2 linked regions of the Solanum lycopersicum genome follow. The protein of the gene in region 1 interacts with the protein of each later gene in a pairwise test. Links are inferred from orthologs where the notes say so. Each region holds a gene or a part of one and is shown on either strand. Other genes may lie near its edges.

What was found. The genes of interacting proteins can lie anywhere in the genome.
Region 2: the proteins of meiosis-specific protein ASY3 (region 1) and meiosis-specific protein ASY1 interact in a two-hybrid assay, tested with the Arabidopsis thaliana proteins (2 studies listed by BioGRID). The link is inferred for Solanum lycopersicum from reciprocal best matches to the Arabidopsis thaliana genes ASY3 and ASY1.

The regions. Positions count from the first base shown.
Region 1 is NC_090800.1:74,289,840-74,294,094, forward strand, and holds the start of meiosis-specific protein ASY3, read right to left. Parts: upstream 2,801-4,255; 5' UTR 2,661-2,800; intron 2,159-2,660; 5' UTR 2,115-2,158; coding exon 2,082-2,114; intron 1,815-2,081; coding exon 333-1,814; intron 238-332; coding exon 105-237; intron 1-104. UniProt on the Arabidopsis thaliana protein: Required for normal meiosis in male and female gametophytes. Acts with ASY1 at the interface between the developing chromosome axes and the recombination machinery to ensure interhomolog recombination.
Region 2 is NC_090803.1:1,638,656-1,642,826, reverse strand, and holds the start of meiosis-specific protein ASY1, read left to right. Parts: upstream 1-1,371; 5' UTR 1,372-1,465; coding exon 1,466-1,468; intron 1,469-1,574; coding exon 1,575-1,631; intron 1,632-2,521; coding exon 2,522-2,618; intron 2,619-2,708; coding exon 2,709-2,777; intron 2,778-2,883; coding exon 2,884-2,985; intron 2,986-3,187; coding exon 3,188-3,311; intron 3,312-3,409; coding exon 3,410-3,479; intron 3,480-3,588; coding exon 3,589-3,630; intron 3,631-4,114; coding exon 4,115-4,171. UniProt on the Arabidopsis thaliana protein: Required for normal meiosis in male and female gametophytes. Plays a crucial role in coordinating the activity of DMC1, a key member of the homologous recombination machinery.

The DNA.
Region 1 (4,255 bases):
AGTATGGATCATCTGGAGACTTATGATTACATTTGAAAGAAACTAAGGGAACTGAATCAATATGAATAAATAATTGAACATGAATCACAAAGCATCATTTTAACCTTGAATATTTGAACTGTCTTCCGAGTCCTCGGGATCACTTTCCATGGATGATGGTTTGGAAAACTTAATTTGTGTATCTTCTATATGTCTTGATTCCAGAAAAGGAGAATTTTCCAAATTTCCTGCATCATCCTTAACATATTATAAGGAAAATCAACAATTCATTACTACAACCTATGACAATCAGCCACTAGATTACAACTGTTGAGTCACAATAAGAAGGATACTGATGATTCTTCGGGTGTATTGGACTTATATTCTCGTCTAAATCCATCAAAGCTCTTGACCTTACAAATTCCCTCAGTTTTTGATGTTATATCTATATGATCATCACCATGCAGTTGCCCCAGATTGCTTCTTGGTGCAAATCCTGGAAAAGATTTTCTGCCAGGTGTTTTCAAAGCAAAAACTGGGCTTTGATTGTCAGACTCCGAGTCCAATGCTTTCTTCTTGAATTTTTCTGCTGAGTTTCCTTTCTGATCTATATGTTCTTGTAGATTTCTCAGCTGCTCAGTCATTTCCACTACAGGGGATTCTAGGTTACCAGCATCTGGTTGGACCAACTTGTCATTTTTCTCCTGAAATAAAGTAGAGCCATCACCAGGATGTACAAACTTCTCAGGAACTGGTACTCTTCTACACTTATTGTTTGTGTCTTCATCTTTCATTTGATTGTTCTGCTCACAAACCTTAGGTGCTTCCATGTGGTGACTCTTCCTCTTTCCTCTCCTTCCATATACCATCAAAGGACTACTAGTGCTAGCATCACGTAACGTCCTAGAAAGCAGATCTTTAGGAACGAAGACATTTTTCTCTAAGTGGTCCTCTTTACATGCTGGTGGTCCCTTTCTATTTTGTGATTTCAACTTAGCAGGGGCTCTTTTTCGAGCTAAAGAACGAGTAGTTGGTCTCCTAATAGCGTACCCATAACTTTGGGTATCACTTTCTATAGTATCTGAATTTTGCTTAGGTTCACCAACATGATTTCCACTGTTTTTCTGCTCTGGTTCCGAGGCTTTTGCACCCTGCTCGGGAACTAGAGAATTTGGACACTGCTTGGTTGGGGAAGAAACAGTTCCTAAGATTTCCTGAAGCTTCAATCTTAAAGATGCATTGCCTGTATTTTCTGCTTTCTCGGGCATGTCTTTCAGAGCAACTTTGGGTGCATATTTCCCCCTTCTCTCTATAGAAGCATCCTCCTTTACCTGCTTGGATTTTTCAAACTGCAAAGTCCTTGTCTGGGTTAAGAAAGACCTTAAGGAACACTCTGCTGGTCCTACCTCTACTCTGTGTGATGTGTTGCACATCTCAACTACACCCTGTGCAGTTGAAGTTTTCTGTACTTGAGTATCTGCCTCTGAGGTTGGTTCATGGTGGAGGGCTTTAGTGGATATCCAAGGAGATGTCTGCTTCTCTGTGGGCTCTCTTTGATTTCTGATAGTAGGAGTGCTCACTATTTCCTTCTTGTTTCTGTCATTTGTGAAATTCCCCTTGCTTGAAGTTTTCTGAGGCATTGTTGTCCCATTGTAAACACATATCTCTTTGCTAGAAGTTTTCACTGCTGCCAAGTGAGTCTGATCTTCAGCTTGCTGTACTTTCTGAGTTCTGCATTTTGAAACTGAATCTATTACAATTCCAATGGACATCTTTCTAGATTGACTGGATTGGTGGTAATTGCTGCCAAAACTCCAAGTGTCACTGGCAAGGTCCTGATAAGAACAAAATAATAGTGTTTCAACATCTAGCTTTCTAAGCATACGAACATGACATCAGATCCACACAGAGCGAGGGGTCGACCTTTCTGGTCCTAAGAAATTTTGAAAATTAAACTCCACATCGAGCTGACAAACTAAGAAATTTAAACTAATCGGAAAAGTCAAAAGACAACAGGGACGGAACAATATGCATATACGAAATCTGCAAATTGCTTCAAGTAAATAATTAACCCAGATTCAAATTGCAAGCTGACTACTTACATCTCGTAATTTTGACTTCCTGTTGACGTCCATAGCTGCAAATTCAGCTGATCCAAAGTAAGCGTGTTACCTGAGTTCTGAAAATGAAAGCAGAAAGAATGATTAATTAAGCTTACCCATCAAATTCCACCGTTATAGTTTTACATGTACTGCTAATTGCCTTCACAAACACACGCCATACTCACATAGAATGGAATTAAGCTTCATAGACTAAGACTCTAGGTCTCTCTTTCACAAACACACACATGTGGAACAGAGAATAACAGAGAACTTCTAATACTAAATAGTTATCGGTATCTACAGCATAACCACATATAAAACGTTCAGATTCAAAACCCATCCAAAAATCCAAATCACTCGAGAACAATTTCTGTACTACGTACTTCCCCATTCATAAACAAAACGCCAAATCAAAGCTTCGTTAAGAAAAGAAAAACTAAATCTATCAGCGAACGATCAAACATCGGGTGAATCTAGAATCTCCAACAGCTACAATTTACAGAAACTTCAGCGGGAACGAATATATGAGGATTAACTTTACATGCATTGTCGATCATGGAGATATTGTGAATTACTTACTACAAATGAGCAGAGACGAGATTCACCATGCGCCTCCGTTCGTTTCTGAGCTGTGAGAAGAAGAACTCGAGTCGATACTACAAAGGATTTTGGGGTCCTTTTTGAAATTTTAGGAAATGGGTAGAGTGCGTACGGGTGATTTTGCGTGATCAGACTGAGAAAGAGGCGGGAAAAGACGAAACAATGGAGCGTGTACGTCGCTTTCACTCTTTTATATACAACTGCGTTTTACACCTTTGTTTGGATGGGTTATTTCATATTTTGATTCATAATGTGTGTGTATACATAACTTTGTACCCTATTATTTTACCACTTGGATATTGTATTGTATTATGTTATATTATAGATATTATTTTTCACCATAACATAATATCACACATTCAGACAATATGAATGATACATCACAAAAGAGAAATAATAGGTTATGTGTAGAGTGATATAAAATAGTAATGTAAAGAAACATTTAAAATTACTAGATATGCAATAATATAAAATGAAATTTTTTGTCATTTAATAATAATGAATTTAACAATATATTTTTTGGATAAAAACTTGGTTTGCGTGTGTTTTAAACTCGTTTCTTTTAAAATAACACAAAATCTAAACTCAAAACCTATTAAAAGTTATAAAAATTAGTAAAATTTAGAATCATTAAGCGATGTAATCATCATAATGATCATAAGCATTAGTAGACATGTGTTCTAATCAAGTATAAATTTTTTATCTCTCAAGAAAATATTCAATTATTTGTTTTATTCGATACAAATTGTATAATTTTTCTCAAACTTGTAGTTTTCTTGTGTACATCTAAATGTTATGTGTAGTTCTTTTATTTAGTTACTCCTTTTTAATGTTTAAAGAATTGATATTGTATACAAACTTAAGATGAAAATGAAAGATGCTAAGACAAGCTTGCCATAAATTTATTCATCTGTGCTTGACGAAGATGATGATGTGTTGTGTTATATACGTCATAAGTTTTATGATATTTTTTCAAGAGTTTATTTTTTGAAAAAGTGTATATATTAGCAAATTATTAATTTAAATTGAATGTTATAAAACATAGTTTGGTTTTATTGTATTCCATAGTAAATTGTTGCTATTTTTGCCTCTTTTCAGCTGTAATCTTGCTCGCCATTCTCGTTATTGTTGGCAGTCGCGCTCGACTCTCTATCATTTATACAAATACAAAAGTATAAAATGTGTTTATGTTTGTATAAAGCGAGAGAAAATTGTACATATACATATATTTTCGTTCCTCTCTCTACCTTCTTCCAGTCTCGCTCTCCACTCTCACTCGTCTCTCTCACTTTATATAAATACAAATGTATACATCGTGTTTGTATTTGTATAAAGCAAGAGATTTGTATATATAAGTACAAATGCATAGATTTTCGTCCTATACACATATGTTTATACAAATACGTTATTCCTTTGCCAAGTTTTCTTTTGTCTTTCTCTAAATCTCGCTATACAAATACAAATTATACAATTGATTCTTTTGCAGTACGTATACCGAAACAGATTATACAATTGATTCTTTTGCATATGTATATAGTGAATTAGTCAGCTTCTTTTGTATATATGTATAGTGA
Region 2 (4,171 bases), on another chromosome or scaffold:
CTTGTGGTGGATTTTACATTATTTTCTTGTAATTGCTATATTTTTTGTTTATATCTGATATAGTTGTACTTGTGTCGATATTTTTCGAAAATAATTTCTCTATCTTTACGAAATAGTGATAAAATTTTCATAAATTTTATTTTTTTCAAACATCGTTCATGAAATTATACTAATTATGCTATTATTATTATTATTATTATCATCATCTTTTAAATTTCTTTTTGTTTGGACAAAAATTGAAAAGAGTTTCTTCAAGGATATATTCTCTTATCTTAGACTATGTTTGGGCCTTGAGTCAATTGTGGACCGCAAATTGCTATTTAAGTGATATATAATTTTTTATAAGTTTAGTTATTTTAAAATTAACATATATTACTTAAATAAGCCTACTTTATATATATTAATATATAAATTTGAAGTTGACTTGACAGTCTCAAACTTTATTTGTTTAGTCTAAAGTTTAGTTTGACATTCTAAAACTTCATACTGTAATTTAAATTTTGATAATTTATTTTATTATGATAGCCTTCACTGTATTACACTTCCGTCCAAAAATAATCTAAATTAAATATAAATTTAGAATTAGAAAAAATTACGTACATTATTCACGTAACACTTAATGATCTGGAATTTTACTTAATATTGAATAAAATATACATACATTTATTTAAAATTTGCTAAATGTCATGATATTTATCTTCTTGTTTTATATCAAATTTATTGCTCATATTTTATAATCAAGGGTGTATTTATAAGGAGTCACTAAATTTAGGTCAATTTGTACTTTCCTCTTGAGTCATGTAAAATAATATTATAATTTCTTTAAAATACTTAATTCTAGATATATGGACCACATTCAAAATATTATACAATACGATCATGATTGGGTGCACCTCTCTCTAGATAGTGATATAAATTTCTAATATATAACAAGTTCAAATGATAAAATCAATCAAATTTATATATTATATTCATCTTTTCGTATAGTGCACTCATTTTTTTAAAATTCTAAATACGCGTCTGTTTATAATGAATGATTGCGAAGGTTGATTCAAAATTTCAAATTCCTGTGATCCATGAACTTAGTTCACTATCAAATAATTAAAATAAAGTTAAAACTATAGTTTAAAAAAAAGTTGATGAAACAAAATTACAACTTAAACAAATTGGTTCAAGTAAAATTAGGGAGGCTTAAACGTCAAAACATTAGCAACACATCTTACTGACCAAAAACCCCTGCCTTTCTCCAAAATTACTCAACAAGCCACTGGATCACGCATTCCGCATTCCTCAGTTAACCATAGTTAATTCCCATTTAACCGTGGTCACTTTTCTCCGACTATATAAACTCACTCTCACTGTACTCCCCGCCATCTTCTTCATTTGCTGAGCAAAAGCTTTCTGAAAAGCATTGTTCTCTTCAAATTTCTCCAAATCGCTTGAATCTCGTTTCTCTCTGTCAACAATGGTGAGCAACAGCTTTTTCCATCTCAACTCGCTCTTTGAATTCGTTGAATAACTTGTTATACTTCACCTATTGCTTAACTCTCGCGTTCATTCTCTGTTTTTTTTAGGTTGTGGCACAGAAATTGAAGGAATCGGAGATTACTGAGCAGGATTCACTCCTTCTGGTAAATGATCGATCTCATATTTGCTTTTTGATTACGTTACTAGAGCTGTGTTTTTTGCTCTGTTCAATTTAGCGTCGATCAGTTTTTTTACGTTTTTGACGAGTTTGTGAACGTTGATAGCACTTAGTTTGTGAACGTTGATAGCGCAAAGTGCTTGTATGAAACACGTTATGTTGAACTGTTTGAGAGTTGTGTAGTTTTTTCTCTTATCACTTTCTGATGTTTTAAATACTTCGATTTTTATGGTTATTGACAGCATGTGAGTCGAATCTGGAGGCTAATCAATGATTCTTTTATACTCAGTTGTGATTTAAGTTGTGTTGTGTGTGTATTTTGAGTTCATTCTTTAGAGTTTTCTGGCTCTTGTAACCTCTTCTATGTTGAGTTTTATTTCGTTCAACTGATGTATGAGGCAAATGTAAATGTATAATCTCTGGTTGTAGATGTTGACTTCCGATTGACTCATGTTGCTTGTTTCTCTAGATAGTTGATTTGTATTTTTGCTCTATATAGTTGAGTGAATCTGTTTTTATGTATTTTAAAAAACGAGATGCGTAGGATATGTTCTAGATCAATGAGCCTGATCTAAGAAGCTAATAAGTATAAGTTGTTTAAGTTCTTCTGTTTTCTCGATTTGCATAGTCTCCATGAATTGGGTGCTTCTGACGTTATCTTCTTTGAATGCTATCGTATCCCAGTTACTGAAATAACTCATGATGTTTAGTTACAATCAAATGAACAGCTAGATATTTTGTCTGTCACTTTGTAAACTTTCCAGTTTACTATCGCTGAAGTTGTTTGTCAGGAAATAGAAACTTGTTTATGCAGTTATTAAGTGTTACAAGCTAATTATCTGGATTCACTTTTTTCTCCATGGTTTTCAAAAACAGACAAGGAACCTTCTGCGTATTGCTATATTCAACATTAGTTACATCAGAGGCCTCTTTCCTGAGAAATATTTCAGTGATAAATCTGTTCCAGCCTTAGGTAACCTTTCTCATTTATTTTTTTGTTTTTTGTAATATCTTCTGTTTCAGTATTTCAAATTAATTTACTGGATACTTATATCACAAGCAGAGATGAAGATCAAGAAGCTAATGCCAATGGATGCAGAGTCACGTAGACTTATTGATTGGATGGAAAAAGGTATGTTGATTTTTTGCTAGTTTTCAAACTAAGCCTTACAGTTATATTCTTCCTTGTCATTTCTTACCGCCACTTTCCTTAACGCTACTTTCTTCTGTGTTCGTAGGTGTTTATGATGCATTACAGAAGAAATATCTGAAAACACTTCTGTTCTGTGTGTGCGAAGCAGTTGATGGACCAATGATTGAGGAATATGCATGTAAGAAGAGTTAAGATAAGTTGGTTCAGTGATGACTTCAAATTGATTTTAGTATCATAATTACACTGGCTAATCACATCTGAAACTGACTAGATTACTATCTAGACCATATCTGTGTTGCCTGAGACAAAGAAATTGCTAAAAGAAGAGCTGATACTTTCAGTAGTCTGGCTTGTGACAATAGCTTATACACTTAGTTTTCTACTTGCAGTCTCTTTCAGTTATTCAAGTTCCGACTCTGAAGAAGTGTCAATGAATGTCAATCGTATTGGGATGAAGAAAGGGGGAACATTCAAGTGTAACTCAAACACTGAAATAACACCCAATCAAATGAGGTAACTATTGGTCTAAGGATTTTTTACTTTATCAGTCTCATGCTGGTTGTTTTTTGGATTACATGAACCTTTTGAGTTGAGAGGGAAGTATATTTCAGGAGTTCTGCTTGTAAAATGGTTCGTACACTGATTCAGTTGATGAGAACTCTTGATAAGATGCCAGAAGAGGTAAAACTTTCTAATTTTCCTAAAAAGCATCGCTTCGTTGTTCATTAATGTTGACAATTGTCTCCTATCATCTGGTTGCTAAGGTTTGTTTCTCTTGGTTTTTTCTCAGCGAACTATACTGATGAAGCTTCTTTATCATGATGATATCACGGTATGCCCTTTTCTCAATTTTGCTTGTTCTGTTTTTCTTTTTATTTCCCTTTTCCTCTTTTAGCTTGCCTCTCAATGTTTGAGTTTCGGGGGAATGTTAAACTTCCATATATTGTAGCATGCAAATTATATATTGGCATCTGTAAGCACATTGCCTTTAAGAAGCTGCAATTGTAATCATCCCTTTTTGACATTCAGAAAATAAGGTTTCTCCTTAGAAGTCATCTCACTTCTGTAATTTTGTAGCTTACGTTAATTTTTGAGTTTGAGCCCCAAATTGATTCCTGTAGTTGTGCCGATAAATGGTTCTTGGGCTACTCATGCACTGAAAACACTGCTTAGTCATATCAAATGCATTTCATAGAATTTTCCAAGCTTTACTTGTTTCCACTTCACCTTTTTAATATCATTTTTCTTCAAAAATCACCCAGCTTGTCATATTTTAGTCAAATTAATCTTTTGTAACAGAATTGCTGGTTGTGCAGCCTGCTGATTATGAACCTCCTTTCTTTAGAGGCTGCACTGACGAGGAGGCTCTAAAT